Lepisosteus oculatus: one gene and its partner. The protein of the gene in region 2 purifies or fractionates together with the protein of the main gene of each other region. This does not show direct contact. Links are inferred from orthologs where the notes say so. Each region holds a gene or a part of one and is shown on either strand. Other genes may lie near its edges.

Region 1 (10,537 bases), on a different chromosome or scaffold from region 2:
AAACTGCCACACCTGGAAGACAAAAGAAACCCACCTCAGAGAAAAACACACAAGGGTAGAAGAACCTAATAAACCACTGTACCCCTGCTCCCTAACCACTGCACTGCAACCAAAATCAAGCAGAAAGTTACCGTTCATCGGCATCTCGTCAATCTGCGTTGAGTAGTACTGTTCAATGTCCCGAAGGATTCGGATGTCATCGTTCTTGACAAAGTTGATGGCAACACCCTTACGCCCATAACGCCCTGATCGTCCAATTCTGAAAGGTAAGGAGGTGCATCAGCTCCATGTTCAGGGCAAAGTTATTGAAAATAACCAATGAACAGACCAAAATGTCCAGTTTCATTTTAATATTCATGAAGAAAGAGTCCAGATGAGCACATAAGTGCATCAAATGAATAACATCTGGTTCACACGATGGGCTACCTAAGGCCAATTCCATGATGAGGTAGAAGCCATTCCCCAAGACTGTAATGGCTATTTAAATATGCCACCTGACACTCAATTATCAAGGGACAATACCTGTGAATGTACAATTCTCTGTTGTTGGGCAGATCGTAGTTGATAATCAGGGACACCTGGGGCACATCCAGACCTCTGGCCCAGACATCTGTGGATATGAGAACTCGGCTGAAAAAGAAAAGACATGGGTTAAAAACACTCTTCTACACCTAAGACTGGTTGACCGAGTTTTGCCCAGTGCTTTGAGGGTAGCTTAAACCTAAAGCCACAATAAACCTATACTAATCGAACCAAAAGTAGGTTCTATTATTTGAGATGACTGCCTCACAAAAAAAAAGAAGCAAAGTCACCTTTTAGATAGGTTACATACTTTAAACCAAATACACATTCCCCTGACAGGCATCGGTTAGGCAGACCATCTTGAGGAAACTAGCAAAGTAACTTCTTTACATGCCTTGCACCCGATCTGAACTCTTTCATGATGGATTCTCTCTCCTTCTGTGGCATGTCTCCATGCATCGAGGACACTGTGAAGTTGGCCTCCCTCATCTTCTCGGTCAGCCAGTCCACCTACAGTTACGACAAAAACAAGACCACAAAGAGAGTCAGTACCATATACAGGAGTCTACAACTAAAATGCAGCTACTGTTTTGTACTAACAAGGTAATGTTAAAAATGAAAGAAGCAGATGCCATTCAAGTACCCCCAGCTGTCTGTGAGATTTTCATTATGGGGACTGTTGAAAGAGACCAAGCAACGACTCTCTATCACTTCCGATTCCCCCAGCACTTGCACAGTCCTGGCTTTGGTGGGAAAGGTTATGGTACAGTAAGGACTAACTTCCACTTGATCGATTACCAATTTAAAATCAAACCCTTCCCTTTTGCCATTTCTGTCCATACACCTTTCCAGACCTAAGTATACCCCACCAATAAGTCTAACTGAAGCCAGAGTTTCATGGCCACAAATTGTAATCCAACCATCATTTATTCTGAAAACTATCTGAAATCTAAGATTTAACTGGACCAAAGTGTGCTCATGACCTCTGTAAAATACTGCACGAAAAACTAAAATGTGACAAAATGCCACTGTTTCCAATCCAAAACATGTCCACTAAGCTGTTCTGCTCTTCAGAAAAGCACAAACCTTCCTCTTGGTGTTACAGAAAATGACAGCCTGCGTGATTGTCAGAGTGTCATACAGGTCACACAGCGTGTCGAATTTCCATTCTTCTCTTTCCACAGCCACGAAAAACTGCTTGATGCCTTCTAGTGTCAACTCATCACTGAAATAAGGGCAAAGGAAAAGAAACTCAATTAATATATGAGCTAAGAGATACGTAAAGTAGTCAATTTACTTGTGAGCAGCTTTACAGCAAGACCCAAAATATGAACCCATTAAGACGAACTAAAAAAAAACTTCCTTGGTGCAACAAATTTAAATCCGGAGAGCTCTTACCGTTTGACCAGGATTCGGATGGGGTCCGTCATGAATTTGTTGGTCATCTCCAGGATTTCATGTGGCAACGTGGCGCTGATCAGACACACCTGTGTAGCAGGTGGCAGGTATCTGTACACATCATAAATCTGCTCTTTGAAACCTTGAAAAACAGAAAAAATAGGTTTATGTTACCATTTAAAAACCAACATTTAACACTCGATTTCAGGAAGGCCTTAAAAACCCATCTAAACAATACTGATACCCATCTATGTACATTCCTCTCAGTGTCAAGGCTTTCTATACAGGTACACAATACAATAAACCCTACATGTGTCCGAAGTGCTGTAAATAAAAGTAATTTGTTAAAAGGGATATTTGTCTTTACAAAACCATTATCCACCAAAACTGAAAATTTGATACCATTCAGTCATATAAACTGAATGCATCCGACATTTGAAATACTCTGAATTAGGAAATTACCCACATTTTGAAAATCTACATATAACTAAGACTGGAGCATTGGGTAGCAGGTGCTGCTGGCAAGAATACAAAAAAAGGAACACTTTGTTGATGCAAGGTTCACAAAAGGGAAAGAGCAGCATCACTCTACCTTTGTTCAACATTTCATCGGCTTCATCAAGAACCAGCATCTTGATAGCACGGGTTCTCAGGCTCCTCCTGCGGATCATGTCTGTTGAAAGCAGCAGAAGGCAGAAACATCACAGTGAGCACCACACAGCCGGAGGCCAAATCTGAAGCCAAAAACGGTTTACAAGATGCATGCAACCCGTCGTACTTAGGACGGACGTGCTTCTGCAAAAACCAAGTCTGGAGTAATTCATGCGTTCATTACCAAACACGCGTCCTGGGGTCCCTGCAACAACGTGCTGTCCGTAATCCAGCTTCCGGATGTCCTCGCCGACATTTGTCCCACCGATGCAGGCGTGGCACTGCACGTTCATGTAGTCGCCCAGAGCCAGGAGGACCTAGCGAGGATTTCAAACGAAAGTGACGGCTCCGACACGACGCTCAATTTCCCAATTCACACCGATTGAATGGAGCCCCTGTACCCACATAACCGGACACTTGAGCCTGCAGCCCATGAACACGCTAAAGCAGGGGCTGAGAGGCATTCGAGCTTCCACTTTCTTCAAAGAGACATTACCCAAGAGGCTGAGGGCAGGATGGAAGGCGGCATTAAACTTCACTGGGAAGTTACACAGAAAAGGCTTCATTTGAAGAGGTGTTATCACAGGTCTAACTTCCAGCAAACATGTTTATCGTTCTGGAAAAGATCTCATTTACGGGGGAACCGCAGTCCCAATCCCAGTTATTAAACCCCAGTAACAAGGTATAGAAATGCTACAGAATCTTACAAATTGAGCACAAAATCTTGAAAAAACTGAAAGTCACCATATTTTTGCCGACCCCTGGTCTTGCCACGGGCAAGAGTGCGAGTTCCCGTGAGCTGGGACGTGAAGCAGCCCTTCCTGCTCACTAGTCACTGTAACGACTAGTGTAACGTACGCGCGAACAATTACAGGTGGTGATATACCTGTATATATACCTGCCTGTGATATAAATAGAAGATTTTACAAGTTACTGTGTCCATTTTACTTTTATTGTGGTTTGAAACGCACTTATCAATGCTGATTTTTTCTAACCCTGAAATATAAAAACAGTGTTGCAGTTCTTCTGCAAAAGACTCTCATGCATCATGCACCACAAATTATTGAACAACATAAGAATCTGGGGCTTCAGAGAGAAAAGACGAAGATAAATCAGGAAATCCAACCTTTTGTATTTGCCCAGCCAATTCTCGGGTTGGTGCCAAGATGAGTGCTTGTGTTTCACGAACCTACGAAGTTTAGAAACAATTGTGAGGCACATTTAAACTGAGGCAGGAAGACAATGTGGCATTACATGTCATTTCTGGTAGATGCATCACTCATCTACCGATGAAAACATCAGCTGTTACAGTGTACAACAATCATCAAAGCAATCTAGACATTTAAGCAATTCCACATATTGATGTGCAAACTTATACCGAAAGCTCTTTTCCCCATCTTCACGGGTTCTACTTAAAACTTCCAACAGTCACACCTCAAGGCTTGACAGCCAGCTGTTTGACATTTGTACATCTCCCACTCATGCATAAAGACCAAGATATTGGTGTCAAACAGTTAATCTACAGTCTGGAATGCCAATTGCACATTACAGAACGGAACATTCATAGTTCAGAGAGCTGCAGTCAACAGCTGAGGTAAAAAAGTGGGACACTACTAAAATACCTATTTCTGTATTTGATGAGCAAGTAGTAAACAAAGACAACCAAGGAATCAGATGAAAAATGGTCAAATTCTCAATGGCGCGATGCACAATTATTCCCTTCACCATACACGTTGAGATTTTTTTTTTTTAAACTGCACTTTTCTCCCCATCAGCTCCGCCAATACCCTCAAAGGCACGAAATAAAAACACAGCTTTACCTGAATATCCAAGCACTGCAGTACGGAGATACAGAAAGTTGCCGTTTTGCCCGTGCCAGACTGAGACCTGGAATGAACAAAAAGTCAGGTTTTCAACACCCTGCTCCAAACAGGATCGGCATGCAGACTAAACGTCTTCTTCAACGCTGAGCTTACTGTGCAATGACGTCTCTTCCTTTGATGATCTGTTTAATCGCTCTTTGCTGGATAGCGGAGGGTTTCTCGAAACCTGTATAAAAAACATGAAACCAACACAGAACTCTATTAGAACAACGATCTCGCCAGGGAAGGCAGACTCAGGAGCGAAAACACAAACAGCTCCGCCTCCATTAACGACGTTCTTAATATTTAGCCTACTTTTCCCAATGGTAAACTACAATGAAGCATTTAACACCTCAATAAAAGCTATGAAAAAAATCGAAATATGACCTTGTAGTCAAACCGTCTGCGCATTTCTAGAAGCTTTAATTAATGCGTGCCCATCTTCGTAGGCTTTCAAAACTGAACAGGCCCCAGCCTTATCCCCGGCTCACCGTAAGCGTAGATGCCGCGGAGGAGGTCTTCCCTCAGGCCCATCGTATCAAAGGTTGGAGTCACATCCACCTCCTCGCTCGTCTCGAACTCCACTTTAGTCATGTCTTCCTCCTTCAGGAGTCGTTTCCTAACCGGTGCCGGGGCGGCTGCCATATCGAGATGGGATACAAAGGAACACCTAAAGTCAAGACCAGGAACGATACTTTTCGGGCGCCGACAGCAGGCCAAACTGCAACCAAGAGACGCGTGCTAAATGACGCTAAAAAAGGGTCCAACGCAGGTAGTGACGTAGGCTGTGGAACGGAAGTCAAGTCCACCGTCATGTGACCAGAGAGCCACCAACCCGCTAACATTAGCGTTCGAGATGAACTAATCACTAGTCTGATGAGCGTATGAGGACGCCATCTTGACTAGGTACATGCACGGTGCTTCACGGTCACCGCAACAAGTATATAACAATTTCGTCGATTTTCTCTTGAATTTTCCACTCTTGATTACAGTGTTTAAAAATGAAACTCTTATGAAAATAAAATAATAAAAACGTTGTATATACATAAATGATATTTATATGGAGTTCAAATGATTACATTTTTTTTTCAGTATATGGAAGGTAGCTATACAGTACACGGTTCAATTATGTCAATGGACGTTCGTTAAAAAATCATTACATTTTTTAACGATAGTCTAATTATGCAGCATTCTAAATGATCTTGGGTACTGTATGTACAACAGGTAATAATTTTAATTATACCTGCTAAAAAAAGTAATTCTCCTAACATTTCATTAGCTGTGTGACTATTATCGACCTTTCATGTGTTGTCGTTTTTTCATTTTAATACATTAACCAGAACAAGCAAAAAACAACCACTTATCGGAACCACAATAACTGCCTAACGAGGCAGGTGGAGAGGAGTATGGGGATGCACTGTGTAGCCTTGCATCGTATATTTCACGCACAATATACGTCACCTCATGTTAAGATCTATAAAAGTGATCGACCCTTTCAGCCATGAAATGTTAATACCGATGGTAAGCGGTGAGCAACAACAAAAAATAATCTCGGACTTTCCTATATTTTTGTGCTACAAAGGCTCCGCATCCGGTCTGTGGACAGCACTTTCCCAAAACGCCACACGGGGGACCCCGATCCACATCACTTTATCGTCATTCGTGACGTTTGTCACAACGTCTAGTTGAAGATGTAGGTTAATGTCTGGCAGAAATCCTGAAAAATGTCAAAGCGGTACAACGTGCAGAGATCTTAAGACCTTAATGTGGGGGTAAGGGACCCACGTCACCCACCCATGAAGTACAGTGCTAGGCCCGTTTATAATAATAATAATTCCTTGCATTCCTTGCATTTTATGAAGCACTTTTCATCCCAAAAGGACTCCAAAGCCATTAACAGATAGTAGGCCCGGAATGGCTGAAGTGGTGCACTCACCTGGATGATACGTGACAAGCCCCACTGCACAGCAGATCAGGAGAAGTGAGAAATTGCTTTACCAGCTGAACTAAATTTGCTGAAATTTGTGTAGGTCAGATTGTACAATTGTACATTCCACCCAGAGTGGAATGTAGCCTAGACACTGAGGTTAACATGTGCCTGGGGTCTTTAATAACCTGGGTTTAATGTTTTACTGTAAGATGGCACCATCTACATCATTGTTCTGTCATCACGCTGACACTGTAATTACAAAATCTGCTTCGGATGTTGTTTTGCATTCTCGAGAATGTTTTTTTTTTCTCAGTCTTTGTTAAATCACGAGAAGTTTCAGACCTGTGGAGCAGGGTGGTGCAAGCTGTTGGGTGACTCAGTCAGATCTAGCCCACTAAGTAAGCAGAGACCGCTGAAGACAGAAGTCAGAGATCTGTGGTCTGAGGAATAAAGGTCACAAACAGTACACATCACCAGCATAAAACCCCCCAGTGCCATCAGACTGGCTAGTTTGTGCCAGAAAGGTGTCAGAAAGAAAAGTGATTTGATAAATGTGTGTCTTCTTTTGAGCTAGACCATTGGCAAAAATCGTTTGTTGTTCTACAATGTTGAGAGTTTTCTGGGCTGCACAGATACAGGTCTGAAGTTCAGGTTGGACCCATGCTTGAGAGTTCAATCTCTAAAGGTTCTGGATAAAGAATTAAAATAGGTTTGCAGTGTCACAACATAAAAAACCCGTCTATCTTGTGCATTGGCACTAATATGACTAATGACATACAAAACTGGCCTCATAGAATGACAGTGTATGTTTTTTTTTATTTTTTATGTTTATTTCCTTCTGCTACATACATGGCTGTACACTTTACAAAACAGGTTGAACTCTTTATTTTTTTTTCAAAGCTAAAGCACCACACATTCCATGTAATACTCAGTGCTCTGCAACATATTTCATATCTACATACGTTTGTAAAAATGAGCAAATTCAAGTTTAAAAAACGGCAAAAGAAACATCTAAAATTGTGCTTTTTTTTTCTCAGTCAAGACTGTGATACAATAGTATACAAGATAAGTCTTTCTCACAGCACTTGACAATCTAACATGCAGGTAACAGGATCTACTGTCTCTTTCTAAAGAGAAGAAACGCTGTCTCCTAATTGAGCAGAGAAACATGCATTCTCGTGCCTTTCAAGTAAGGCAAGGGCCACGCAGATCTGAACTTGGGTTTGCAGGTACATCACAAGTCATAATCATAAAAGTAAAAACCAATAAATAAGTAAAGAAGTGAAGCAAAACCGATAACTAAACAATTTAGAATACTAGGTGTACATGGAGTGCTGGTCGTTAACATAGTTCAGTGTCAAGACAGGCAGTGCTCTGCAGCTGGTGGATTCTCTCCTGCCATCTATCATCACAGTGCTGCAGAGTGGACCGTTGGATGAAGCAGACTCTTCTCCTGGTTGCACTAGTTAAAAAGAACCTTTGCTCTGGAAAATATCAACTACAAGAAGGCATTCTTCAACAGGCTTTTTACGCCCTTTCCAAAAAAATTACTTTGATTATAGTCTGCAAACCCCTTGGTGCTGCTGATAGTAAGACATGATTCACTGATGGCTATTTAACGCTGGAATCTGGCAGTCCTCAATAACCCCCAACAAGACACCAAAGTATTCTAATCATTTACAACTGTGGGCTAGTACAGGTAATACTGGGACAAAATATTTAATAGGATGCACTTTAAGGTTCTGAAAAGGTGGGGTTTTAAGTGATAGAGTTAACACCTCATTCAGGAACATCTTGCCTCTAGTCTGGGTTCAGGGTAGCAACACTTGACGTCTACGAGGAACAGTTAAAATCATATTGGCACTGCAGCTGCTTCAACAGCTAAATCAGCTGAATATTTTCAAGGCTCACTGGACAGCATCAGGGTCACAGGCATTGTTCGGCAAGTGCATACACACTCTCGCAACACACCGTTCAAAAGCTAAACGAAAACGAAACGTCTTTATATTGGTGTTTATATTGTTCTAACCAAATTGTTCCTTTTTTGTTCACATATATATCTCTAATTCGCTCCAGTTAAGAAAGAGGTTAAGGACAATGTCCCTAAACAAACGAGACGATTCCTGGGACCCCTTTGAATTCCTCTGCATCAGTCCCTGGCTTTTTCCTGCCACTCCCCTCTCCTACCAGCAGACTGACAGAAATCAGATCTGGAGCTCAAAGTAAGGTAACAGGCTATTTTACAAAACAAAACACGTCGGACTGTGCACCCATTATTTCTCACAGTCTCAGTGGACTTGCCGACAGGCTACTTTTTGTGCTGCGGGAAAAAGACCTCAGAGCTGACACTGGCTTTGATTTTGTGTTGACCCTTGAGCCAGCTGGAAATCAGGTTTGCAAAACGGAGAGAGATGCCAAGCTGGATGTCTGGCTCCCTTAAACGCTGACAAAAAGCCAGCATTAACAGATGGTTGTATTTTTAAATTCATTTTGGCAATTCTAAATACTCCATACAAGCAGGTTCACCCCAATTGTTATTTTCAATTAAACCCTTACTGTACTTCGTTAAATAAGAAACAAACAAATTTGCTTTCCTGTATTATATATAATACAGTGTACTCTTTAAAGGGGTTGAGTTATCTCTATAGTGCCAAAATTATAATGAATAGCTGATCCGCGGCTCAGTCGTAGCCTGGCATTCAGTCCATCACACACCACTGGAAAATGTGTAGTTCAGGAGGGGTTTAATTGTGACTATACCAGGGTGGATTCTCTAAGATGGCAAACAGGCCTGCTATACGTAAAGCTCCAGGTGAGCTTCCTCTGCTGTAACGAGAACAGTACAACAAAGACGTGTAGGGCCTGCTGTGCAAGGTATGGAGATGTAGCAGATTCAAGTCAAAGAAAATGAGCAATGACAGCAGCGGGATGCACACTCTCTAGCCCTGTGAACTTTATAACACACAGTCATCTTTTCTGCAGATGGACAGAAGGCCTTTGTCGGCGCCGAAATGTTGACAGTGTCTAATAAACATCCTCAGAGTAGAGAGTGTGCGTCCTGCTTGTCTCGGTGCTTTGATTGATACCCATCAGAAGCCATTTCAGTAACACTGGGTGTGCTTTCTCCTCTTTTTTTTATTTTAAATAGCAAATCATCTGCTCTTGTTCTGTTGTTGCATTGCATTGTGTTTCTCACTATGTTTTCTGTGTTCCACGGGACACTGGCGTATAGTTTCTCCCTACATAATGACAGATGATCAGATTACCACGCATGGCCCATTGTTTACCAGAGTGGCCACAAGTCTGGAATGTGTCTAGTTTAAATAACACTCAAACCCAGCCAGTGCCGTTAATGCTGTATTCTCCTTCACCAGGGCCAGTCAGGGTGGGAAAGAGGCCAGCTGTTGGTGGTTTTGTACTGCTTAGGAGAATCACAATGGAGCTCTACCACCTGCCAGTCTCCTGTTGTAAAGAAAAGGGATTGTTCTGGAGCATGTGACGTGGCACCCTAACCACAGTACTTCACAGTGTGCGTTAGCCAGGTGTCTTTGAAGTGGACTGTTCAATTCCACAATGACCTCTGCCTGAAGATGTGCCTTTTTTCTTTGCAACACTACACTAGCTGATTAAAACAAATTTAAGCAAAAAGACTTCCAGAACATCACACAGAAGTATTTCCACTTCAAGGTGAGACGACATTAATTCCTTTAAGGTAGACTTATATTGGGGCTTATTCTGAACATTACTTTCCAGCTTGGAAAAGCCAAATCAATCATGATTATTCTAATGTTTGATAGAAACATGGCTGTCATTGTGTCTTATCCTAGTGCATTACAGATCACTGTTTATTAAAGATCCCCAATGTAACTATTTTCATTTCAAGGGTCTCTCCATCTCAAAGCGCAGTATGACTGGAGAACATTTAAGTGGCCAAAAATTTGGATGTGCATTAGTCAAAAGCCAAGTGACTTTCAGAAAATCTCAAAATACCTTTACAGGACTTAAATCAGCAGGCTCGAGTCTTATATCTGATCACATTTAACAGGGAGCAGAATGTGGTCTCTCTGAAATGTGATTTCTTTTAGCTATGTGATTGAAGAGATGGTTATAGAGGACAGAAAACAGGAGAAGTGGAGGAGGCTCAGTCTGTAATAGTCTCACAATGCAATCAACA
Region 2 (10,894 bases):
GGAGACAAGGAAGAAAGGCCATGAATAAGAGGTGGGGCTATCGCTCGTTACCCCACACGAGGAGGGCAGAGCCAGTTGGCACCTGCCCGGGACACTGAACGGCCAATTTCACACTTGGGAAAGCTTCCATCCCAACATCAGCAGCTGGTTTTCCTCCATCACTTTGCGATTGCATAACCAGTTAGAACATGACGGCAAAGCTATTGGTCAGAACGGGGAAACGTGTCGAGCTGCACGGCTCATCGCGCCAGTGCTAGTGTGATAAGTGAACACAGGGACGGTGCTCCCCCCCTCCCGGGCGGAAGGCTGCAGCTCGGGCACGTACCCCCATATGGGCCTCCGCTGTTCCGGCCGCTGCCTCCTCCGAAGTTGCTTCCCCCCTTCATGGGGCCGTAGCTGGAGGAGGACTGGCTGTTGTAGTTGCCGAAGTCGTTGTAGTTCCCGCTGCCGCCGAAGCTTCCTGCGAGGCCAGAAGAAGAAAAATAAATAAAGAGATCCGGTTAGCCCCGTAGGGCACCGGCACAGTTCAAGTTAAGCCAGGCTCTCCCCTCATGCGCTGGGGTGCCTTCACGAGCCCTCGATTCAGAGTGAGCTCCTGCAGCTTTCAGGCAAAGCACAGTAACCAGCCGGCCGAGCAAGTCCGGACCAACTGAGGCAAGGTTGAGGGTACAGGCAAGATACCTCAGCCCTGAGGCACCCAGCTCCACCTCTTAACTGGGATCCAGCACTGACAGCATGCGGAAACTCGACCTCCTAGCATGGTGACCGACAGACAGACGGTCACCCCACCCCCACCCGGAACCAGAACGCAGGAGGCTTTCAATCAGCTGCTGGAACGTCAGAAAGCACTCGGCTGGTCCGCTCGGGCACTCCGCGAGGCCACCACAAGCCGAGGCAGAAAGACCCGGAGACCCCGCCGCGCACCGCTCTCCCGCCAGGAGAGAGGCCGAGACCGTGGCCGCTCACCTCCTCCGAAGCTGCCCCCCCCTCCGTTGTTGTAGTTGTCGTAGCCGCCTCCGTTGCCTCCGTATCCGCCCCCCTGCCCGCCGCCGTAACCCTGCCCTCCGCCGTAACCACGGTTACTCCCGTAGCCAGGGCCGCCGCCGTAGCCGCCTGCAGGAGAGAGAGAGAGAGTTCGATGAGGGAGGCGCGTCGGCACGCGCAGGCCGCAGCCAGGCGAGGGTCTATCCCACGCGCCCGCTGTGGAGCCGCCTTCGGGCGCGAGAGACGGGAGAACAAACCCCCCCCCCCAGGAAGAGGCAGGAGTAGGAACGAGGCAGTGTGGACACTCAGCCGGCCAATTTTCCCCTCTCACACCCGAAGAAGCAGCCCCACAGCTGAAAGAGACCCCGACTGCGGGTCCGGAGCCACGGATCCCCTCCGGACACTGGCGATACTGGAATTCAGCTCTTAAAAGGAGAAGCTGGGACGTTCAACCCAGGCCGCAGTAGAAATATATCTTACATATACTATTAAAAATAAACAAGTAGCGATAAATCCAAACTCACTGTCTCCTCCGAAGCCATTGTAGCCCCCATCTCCTCCATATCCACCACGGCCTCCAAAGCCTCCTGGGGTAGCAGAAGAAAAAAACAACAACCCCGAGGTGGTCAGTGCAGTGTAACAAAACAACCTGAATAAAATTAAATCCAAGAAATGCCAGGGGGGGTTGGGGTAGGGAGGGGACAAAAGCAAGTTAAGGGGAAAAATGATTAAAAGGAAGAGAGATAAAAAGGAAAAAAGTGGTTTTGAACCACATACCACGGTCACCGAAGTATCCATCACGGCCAAAATCATTACCTCCAAATCCACCACCTCTGCCAAAGTTCCCTGAGCTGCTGCCCCCACGTCCTGGAAAGAACGAATGTCACCACAAAAGGACACCAGGCTCGGGGGAGCATTTTAACCAAGCGCACGTCTTGAGGCCTGCACAGCGCCACAAAACCTTCACAGTCCTCCACACGAGAGCCAGGAGGAACCCAGTGACAGACCACTGCACCGATCAGCTACCAAGCAGGACAGATGGACTGGACGGGCCCCACACACCTGTGTGTAAGGACCCAGTGCTTTCTCCTTTGGTCAGAATAAACCCCCAAAAGCACTCGGGTCTAAAGCCAGATCAATTCTGAGATAAGAGCACCCAGGGTCATCCCCCTCTCCCAAAAAAGAGCTGAAAACACCAATGGCACAGGGTCCAAGACCCCCACCCCCCCGCCCCACCCCAAGCGCAGAGGGCTTACCTCTCATGTTCATCCCTGCGCTCGCCATCTCCTGCTTCGACAGCGCTTTCCTCACCTCACAGTTGTGGCCGTTCACTGTGTGGTACTTCTGGACTGCGGAAGAGCGAGACAGGACAACGGTCAGAAACGGGGGGGGGGGGGCACGCCCCAAACCAGGGGTGCAGCACCACACCCACAAAACCCCCTCCCCCCCTAAATACCCAGAGCCAAGAAGCCAAAACAAAGACCCTTTTAAATCACACTCACACCCCGGCATAAGAACGTTCGGCACACGAGTTTTTGCCAATCTGAACATGAAGAGTTTGAGCGAACTTGTCCTCGGTTCGGAAAGGGTGGATTTATGATCTTCCGCCTTCCGAACAGATTCCCCATGAACGAATCAGGCTCGGATACCGGGGTACGGGTGTACATTGGAGAGGTACCGGCACACGTCGCTACAGTGGCCTGGCAGGCTCCCCCAGGGGCGCCACACCCCCCAGCACAAGGCCCGTCGCCCACCACACTTACTGACGATCCGGTCCACGGAGTCGTGGTCGTCGAAGGTGACGAAGGCGAAGCCCCTCTTCTTGCCGCTGGCCCGGTCGGTCATGATCTCGATGACCTCGATCTTGCCGAACTCGCTGAAGTAGTCGCGCAGGTGGTGCTCCTCTGTGTCCTCCTTGATGCCGCCCACGAAGATCTTCTTGACGGTCATGTGGGCGCCGGGCCGGGTCGAGTCCTGGGGGCAAGGAGACAAGGCGGGTCACGAGAGGAGGAGGAGGAGGCCGGGGGGTCAGTCCAGCCCCCTAGGGCAGCTACTGGCTTAAATCGACCCCATCCATCTGGGGGGTGGTGGGGTACCGGCTTCAATAACGTGGCTGAACAGCCTGTTCCCCACTCCCACCACTCTTTGGGTAAAACGGAACCCGCTGCCCCAATCAGAAGACTGAATGGATATTCTGCAGAGCCGAAAAGGAAGCCAGGAAACCAGCTTCAACATCAGTTCCCTCCTACCACCACCCTTTGCGCAAAGACGTTCCTCCTGTTCTGGCTCCGCAGTGCGGACAACAGGTCCCGCCGAGGACCGACGAGCCCCCCGCGTGTATCGGGGTGGCAGGCAGCGGCTCCACAGCTCTCTGGCGGGCCCTCGATCCGGAAACACTCTCCCCAACCCCAGGGAAAACAGGCAGCAGACTGGGGGGGGGGCTCACCTCTCTAGACACGGCGCGCTTGGGCTCCACCACCCTGCCATCCACCTTGTGGGGCCGGGCGTTCATGGCAGCGTCCACCTCCCGCACCGAGGAGTACGTCACGAAGCCGAACCCCCGGGACCGCTTCGTACTGGGGTCCCGCATCACCTGGGGGGAGAGAGAGAGGGGGGGTCACATCAGCACTGGAGGCAGAGGGGGAGAACTGCGCCGGGCCCCTTAAACTGAACCGGTTCCCCCCAAGCTTTAGGAAACCAATCAAAGTCACAGTGGTGGGGTCACCCAACCAGGGTCCCGGGCGGGACGCTGCCCTGAGCTCTGGGACTCACAGCCCACACAGATCACGGCCTGAGCTTTTAGTCCGCTCCCACTCGCGGCCGCCAGGCCTGACAAACACGCCCCCCCCCGCACAGCCAGGGCAAAGGGCAGGCGCTCCCCGCACCACAAACCGGCGCGTCCCGGGATCGTTTACACCCGCCCCCACACCGCGAGCACGGGGCCCGAGGGGGGGGGTCTCTCCTCTCCTTACCACGCAGTCCGTGAGCTGTCCCCATTGCTCGAAGTGGGCTCGCAGGCTCTCGTCCGTCGTCTCGAAGCTCAGCCCTCCGATGAAGAGCTTGCGCAGCTGTTCCGGTTCACGGGGGGCCTGCGGGGGAGAGCGGGGGTTAGAGGCAGGAAGCGCTGGGTAAGAGGCAGGCCGGACCCGCCGGTCACCCGAACCCGGCCGGAAACCCGCGACGATTGCACGCCCTGCAGAGCTTATACGCAAATGAAAACTTCCGGAGCGTGTCCTCCCACCCTCTTAGGGTTACACACACGTAGATCTGCTCCGCTCCGAATCAGCAACGCCAATTCCAGAACGCAGAAGCGAAGCGGCCCCAGGCCGGCGCGTGGGCACGCTAGCCAGCCCGCGTGAGCGCGGAAGGTTCCAGACCGGAGACAAAGGCCCTGGCAGGGCGCATGCGCGAGCTGCAGCCTACACTCACCGTCTCAATATTTACTAACACGGCCGCCCAGGCTCCACAAAACAGAGGAGCGCGTTTTAACAGCATCCCAGTCTTAATGCGGGAAATAAGCCGCATTGCACAGGTCTAACTGTTGTAAGAGCGATCTGGGACGACTGACCCAGGGCAGGACTTCCAAGGCCTGGGCGCCATGTTCGTTACACCAACAGGAAACAAAGAAATGGATCCGAGTCTTTTTTTCTTGGATTTGCAATATTTGTGTATATTCACCGATTAACGGTGTTCCCATTTGCTCCGGATACAGAACGCGGGTCGATGCTACAGCCACGCGAGACAAGCGTGTCTTTCTCCTGGGGAAAGACACACGATTTCGCTCGCAGGCGCGTGGCCTGCACACCCACCGCCCTCACGAAATGGCGGAGCGACAGATCGCACCTCACCAAAGACAGAAATAAAACACAGTAATGAACTAGAAAGACGGGAAATATACTACTGAAGTGAACAGTAACGATGTGCGTCTTCCCCCTTCCACAATTTCAGCAACAAACGAGCCACCGACTTATGAAAACACAGATGTCTTTTATAGCTACGACCTTTTACACCAATAAGCTTTAACTACCACGTTATTCAAAGCACGGGTATTTTGACTAAAAGGTCCTAAAAAACGCCTAGTAAGTTGCTTTAGTTTGAAGAAAAGCAAAAACTTACCTCCTTAGACATTACTACAAGATCTGTACCAGCACAGCGCCTCTTGCTGAAGGAACAAGGTCGAAAGAGCCCTTCTCACTGCTCAGGCTACTGAGTTATGAAGACGGTAAGTTCCGCCCACTGGCATCAGTGATTGGCTAAAAGTTCCCGCTGCAGCGCGGAGCTGGGAGAGTTGCTCAAAGCTCATTGGATAGAACTCTCGTCTATCTGGTCCTTCTAACCAATCGCAGAAATATTGTCGGAATAATCGCACCCCCCCCGTGTTGTGAAGTCGGAATCCGATTTGCTCCTCTTCCTGCCAATCATTGGGGAAGGCGTCCGAGCGATCGCGGAGAGAGCGGCCGGTGACGCAGTCGTGTTGTGGGGAGAAAAAGGATCCGCGTACTTGCGTGAATAAGGTGTCAATTAAATCAATAAAACATGAACATCGTCTTCATGAAATGTCCAAAGAAATCTGCCACCCAGCAATACTGGCCCATGCAACTGCATAAGCATGTCATTTTAGATGATTATTAGTGGTAGATGTATTACGTGAATTGTTACAGCAGCTATACAGAGAGCTAGGCTGTCGCTTTTTGCCAATAGGCACATTCTAAGCACTTTGAAAGTATGTTTTCCTATTATTTGTCACAGTAGTTTTTAGGTCTAATGAATACAACTCCTAACGTCAGAGATACAATTCCTAAACCCGAGACACATGGCTTGTTTGTATCAGCTAAACCTGCTTGTTTGGATTCAGAGGACCAGGGAAAATGGTCCTGGTCGAGATTTTGCATGAGATCTTGTTTTTCATCATCATCATTATCATTATTATTGTTGTTTGAAGCATTTTTATCATCCTGACGAGCGGGGAAAAGCCGTCTTCTTATCGCAGAAGGACCCCTTCAAAGCTCCCTGCGTGCGCGTGCGCGCTCCAGCTATTGTGTGTTTTTTTTTTGGCGCGCGCGTCTACGCAGTCAGGAGGAGAGTCGGAGAGGCGCTCGAGCTGCAGCTGCGGCGGCGGATTGGGTCGTAACGTTTTCTCTCCTGGATTCAGACGGTCTCTTCACCGACTGGGTGAGCCAAATTCTCGTTCAGTTCGCACCAGCGAAGAGCTGGAGGGGTAGGCTACTCTGCGCTATGTTAACGAAAACGTGCGAAAGAGAGTTTTTATGGTGGGCGGGGGGGGTCGATTTGAACGTTTCTTCGTTCACGTCTCTTATGTGAAAGCGGCGGGATTGAAAGAAACAAGATGGGGGGGGAGGAGGAGGTAGGTGGGTGGGGTCGTGTTGGGCCGAGCGGAAGAGCGACATTGATTGACAGTCGCCTCGGCCACTCAGAGAGGCGGCTTCCCTGCGTTGGCGGGGTCGCTGCACCAAGCGTACAAATCACAGACGCGTCAGGTAGGAGGGACTTCCTGTGCCAGGGTGATTTGCGTTACGGCCATGTGTGTTTGTATTGCAAATTGGGGTTATAAACTGGGATTTACAGGAGAAGGTGGGTTTCACAACAGATAACGCATGGAGTCTACTTTTATAAAAAAAACAACTGTGTGCAGCGATTCAGTTTGCCTGGTGAATGGCGATTTTTGTAGATAAGCGGTGCTGCTCTCTGCCCCCACCCCCTGTCTTGTCTCTCTGTGTGAATTCATTCGGAGCTCCCGGAGCCCGGCATGCTTCTCCAGAGTAAAATCTGGGGAAAAAAAATAAATCTCGCCCCGTCTCTCTCAAGACGATAAGGCTGTGAATGGAGCGGAACCTTTAGTGAGAGTGTTGTGACGAGCATTGCACGCCTCCCAACCGGTGTTGTGACTTGAAATCGGGTTGCCTGGGTTTGGGACTGAACGTTATGCTGAGTTCTGCTTGCAAACTTGTGCTGGCGTTTTTTTTTACCAGGAAAATGACCCCCCACCCCCACCCCGTGCCAACAGACGCGTACGGTGTAAAAGCCTTTAAAAGGAATGCCCTTTCCTTGCTCACGGTGAAAGCTCAACGCTCTCCTTAAATCTCGGGCGCGCTCACAAGACGAGGGAATTAAACCTCCCCTTGGAACACAAAAAACAAACGGGTGCCGGTGTCTCTCGGTAAGATAAGAGACTGGTGTGTGTGAATCCAAGCCCTCCGGCAAACTTCTTTAAGGTCCCGAGTGGAGAGGAGCCGGAAACGCACAGCTCTGTGATTTTGTGTTTGTCACATGCGCAGGCCGGGTTGGCGGTGCGCATCTTGCAAATCGGTAACAGGGACCGATCACCCCCATTGAAAGAATCAAGCAGCGACAATTTTTTTAATGTAGGTCATCAAAGAGTGGCGCCGATCCCCGCATCTGGGGGGTATGATGGGCTTTAGCGACGGCAGCGGGCATCGCAGTTTAAACCGCGGAGCGCCCCTGACGCCGCTTCTGTGGGTGTGCGAAAGTGTTACTCATCGGACGCGGTCAGGTAGCTCCCAGATCGGGAGACTGTTCCCCCCGGGCTCGATCGGGAAGCCTTCCGCTTCCAGTTCAGGATTTCCAGCCGTCGCGGGCGAGTTCAGCTCCGGGTCTGGCGGACACGGGGTCTGCGAGGGAGTGGGGTCGCGACTGAAGTCAGCGCTGGCGAGAGCATTCGTGGCACTTTCTGAAAAAAGGATAAAGACCTTGTAGGGGAGCGTAGAGCCCGATAATCTCACGGGGGAGATTGATGAATCTCCCCCACCCCCACCCATTGATGGATCCGGAGGAACCGGTTTTGGATTGATTGCTGACGAGTCTGATGAAAGTATCCCCACCCCGTGCAATATTACCAGCGTTGTTTTTCTGAATGTTGGTCAAAATGTGTATCACGCTGCACGTCCACGTGCTACAACCCCCCCACCGGGGGATCCACACGCATCGTGGAGAGCCAGGCTCTCGCACCGCACGGCCGAGGTGCGTCTTCGGCTCCTGCATCTCGTGCACTTTTTTTTTTGTAAACACTTCAAACACGTACAGGACAACAACAACAAAAACATGTCTATCCAGGTGAGAAAAGGGGGAGCTGGATTAACTGGAGAGATGCGCAAGTGAGTGTTAAAAGCGATAGGCTGATTCATGCATATTCATGCTTGCCGATCTGGGAAGAGCGCTTTAACTCTTTGGCGTCTTGTTTCCCCACTGATAGGCAAGCTAGTCAAAGTAATCAGCTGGATCAAAGGAAGCAGCTGTAAGAATCGCCATCAGCAGAGAACAGGGGTGGGGGGATCCTTTCAGTGTAACACAGGGGCTTCCTTTCCTGTCATTGTTCTGTGGGCAAGACGCCACCTTCAGATGGCAGAACCTGCCGCGCGTGGTTACCCCTTTCAGAAGCCCTTCGGGGCAGCGGTGTGGAGCGGCCGGCCGGGGCTCTGGACTCCTGACCTGTGGCCACGGGTTCGAGGCCGCGAGCGCGAGACTCTGCAGTCATCCCCCCCCCCCCCCCGATCCCTCCAGTGAAACGGCCGGCCGTGCAGAATAGGGCGAATTGGACTCTGCTTGGTGGAAGAGCCTCCGCGGAATGAATCCTAGCCTTGTCCCGAAGTTCGCAGCTCTCCCAGATGAAGTCCGCGTGGCGTGCTTTTTAAGGAGTATTCTCCTCCTTGCGCGAAAGCAGTCGAAGGCGTTTTCCTCCCTGATTGTCCCAGACCTTCTTGCATTCGTCTCTGTAGCAGCCCCAGGCTCTGAATTGTCTTTTCTCACCTTTTTCTTCCAGGCAGCAGCTGGACTTGAGCTCTTCCTGTGGGGGCACTGACACCCCTGGAACTGTTCTCCGTTGTTGGCACAGACCACAGTCTTCAGGCCTGGAGGATTTGCAGTAAGTGCGCAAGGCTTAGGCCAGCTCTTTAACCACCTGTTCAACAAGCATGGAGGGAAACTCACCCGCTGTAGAAATGTGTATTCTCCCATGCTCCAGCCTGTGATTTGCATTTCTGATTGGACAGGATCGGCCATCAGCTCCCTCATTGTGGCCGCAGCTGAGAGAGACTACTTTTTAAACATGAAACTGCACATGTACCATACATTCATATATATATATACATACAGGATTTTTAAAAGGGAACACGTTTTCAGGGAAATGTAGTGCTTCGCTGCATTATTGTCCAAGGGTGGTAACAGCCGTTTTGCCATTGTGTGTTTTTATGATGGGGAATTGTACTGTAAATGTACTGCAAGGGGTGAATCAGGAGCAGGCTGGCATTGCAGCCTCGCAGCACTGGGGCTCGGGGGTCCATTTCCTGACCTGGGCTGCTGTCTGTGTGGAGCTTGCATGTTTTCTCCTGGTTCACATGGGCTTCCTCTGGGTTGCTCCGGTTTTATCAGAAAAATCTGATAAATCCTGCCCACTCTTTGCTCGCCATCTTCTGGATTACTGATTTGCTCTTAAAGAGCCAGCTCTTAACAGTGTGAGTAGCATTATTACATGTCTGTATACCTCCCTTTAAAATGCAATTCGCATGTCTTGTCTCTGCTGAATCCCAGTGGAGCAAAGCCTGTTCCTTGTCCTCCTTGTCCTTTGATTTGAACTAAGCTTAACATTGAGAGTAGTGGGGCGGCCCGGCAGCGCAGTGGTTCGCCTTACAGCTTCGCAGCGCTGCAGAACCAGGTTCAGTTCCTGGGGTGGCGTCTGTGTGGAGCCTGTCTGCTCTCCCCGTGTTCGTATGGGTTTCCTGCAGGTGCTCCGGGGTCCTCAGATTGTCCAGCGACATGCCTGTTGTTTGTCTCCGGGGGAAAACTGGTCTTGGTGTGGGTGTGTGTGCCTGTCTGCCCACCTTCGTGCATTCTCTGGTGAAGCCCCGACTGGGAAACATGAGAAGCAGGACGTAATTAGTCTGTCACGCTTTCTCGTTCAACAATGAGTGCAAGTGATTGAGAGCGTACGAGAAGCTACAAACGAGAGAAGGCCATTTGAGCCACCTGTCCTGTTGGGTGGTTAGCAGCTAATTGACCCCAGGATCTTGTCAAGCTCTTTTTTGAGAGACACCATGGTGTCAGCTTCAACGACACGGCTGGGCAGCTTAATCCACACTCCCACCTCCCTCTGTGTAAAGAACGCACCTCCTGCTCACAGTTTTAACTGCACTCGGATCCATGGGGTGTCAACCGCCAAGCAGGCGAGATGGGCCGGATAGCCTCCTCTCATTTGTAACTGTTCTCATGTTCTTATTTGAAAATGTTGATGCTTTGCAGAAAGGAGCTAGCAGGCACGTATGGGGGTTGGGGGTTGTGTGTGTTGGCGAGGAGAAGTGCAGTTGTTTCAAAGCCCTTCTTGGAAGAATTGAGGTCTTGCAGTGGTTTATGTGGCCGTGCAGAACAACCAGACTTCCAAGCCCACCCACCCCACACACTTCTGCACTTGTGTCCAGAGCGTTTCCCCAGTGCTGTCTAGCATGTTGCGGTCTGTCTGTCGCTGGCAATGGAAGGCTGTGTATCTAATGTAAACGGTGTGCTGTCAAAATCTGACCTGACCTCCTTTCTGCGTGCCTTGGCGAGGTGCCTGGTTCATTGCCGGGGTTCATGTACAGGTAGTGAGGGGGTAGGGTGTTACTGAGCCCTAAAAGCACAGTGCAGCTGACCAGCGTAAGAGACAATGAGGGGAAACCCCAATAAAGTGCAGGCTCAGTGACCACAGCCTGGCCATAGAAACTGGACACGGACAGACCTGTCTGTACAGAGAGGATAGGCTCAGTGACCACAGCCTGGCCATAGAAACTGGACACGGACAGACCTGTCTGTACAGAGAGGACAGGCTCAGTGACCACAGCCTGGACATAGAAACTGGACACGGACAGACCTGTCTGTACAGAGAGGACAGGCTCAGTGACCA

Evidence for each region. The genes of interacting proteins can lie anywhere in the genome.
Region 1: the proteins of hnrnpa1b (region 2) and eif4a3 purify together in Homo sapiens (co-immunoprecipitation; 4 studies listed by BioGRID and IntAct, with this or other methods). This does not show direct contact. The link is inferred for Lepisosteus oculatus from reciprocal best matches to the Homo sapiens genes HNRNPA1 and EIF4A3.

What each region holds. Positions count from the first base shown.
Region 1 is NC_090712.1:4,822,086-4,832,622, forward strand, and holds the start of eif4a3 (eukaryotic initiation factor 4A-III), read right to left. Parts: upstream 5,209-10,537; 5' UTR 5,079-5,208; coding exon 4,925-5,078; intron 4,621-4,924; coding exon 4,548-4,620; intron 4,459-4,547; coding exon 4,392-4,458; intron 3,761-4,391; coding exon 3,698-3,760; intron 2,889-3,697; coding exon 2,756-2,888; intron 2,594-2,755; coding exon 2,513-2,593; intron 2,063-2,512; coding exon 1,921-2,062; intron 1,748-1,920; coding exon 1,609-1,747; intron 1,033-1,608; coding exon 917-1,032; intron 631-916; coding exon 523-630; intron 260-522; coding exon 132-259; intron 1-131. UniProt on the Homo sapiens protein: ATP-dependent RNA helicase. Involved in pre-mRNA splicing as component of the spliceosome. Core component of the splicing-dependent multiprotein exon junction complex (EJC) deposited at splice junctions on mRNAs.
Region 2 is NC_090696.1:19,465,098-19,475,991, reverse strand, and holds the start of hnrnpa1b (heterogeneous nuclear ribonucleoprotein A1b), read right to left. Parts: upstream 5,210-10,894; 5' UTR 5,113-5,209; coding exon 5,101-5,112; intron 4,074-5,100; coding exon 3,957-4,073; intron 3,578-3,956; coding exon 3,431-3,577; intron 2,959-3,430; coding exon 2,748-2,958; intron 2,334-2,747; coding exon 2,241-2,333; intron 1,852-2,240; coding exon 1,762-1,851; intron 1,572-1,761; coding exon 1,509-1,571; intron 1,114-1,508; coding exon 967-1,113; intron 461-966; coding exon 326-460; intron 1-325. UniProt on the Homo sapiens protein: Involved in the packaging of pre-mRNA into hnRNP particles, transport of poly(A) mRNA from the nucleus to the cytoplasm and modulation of splice site selection.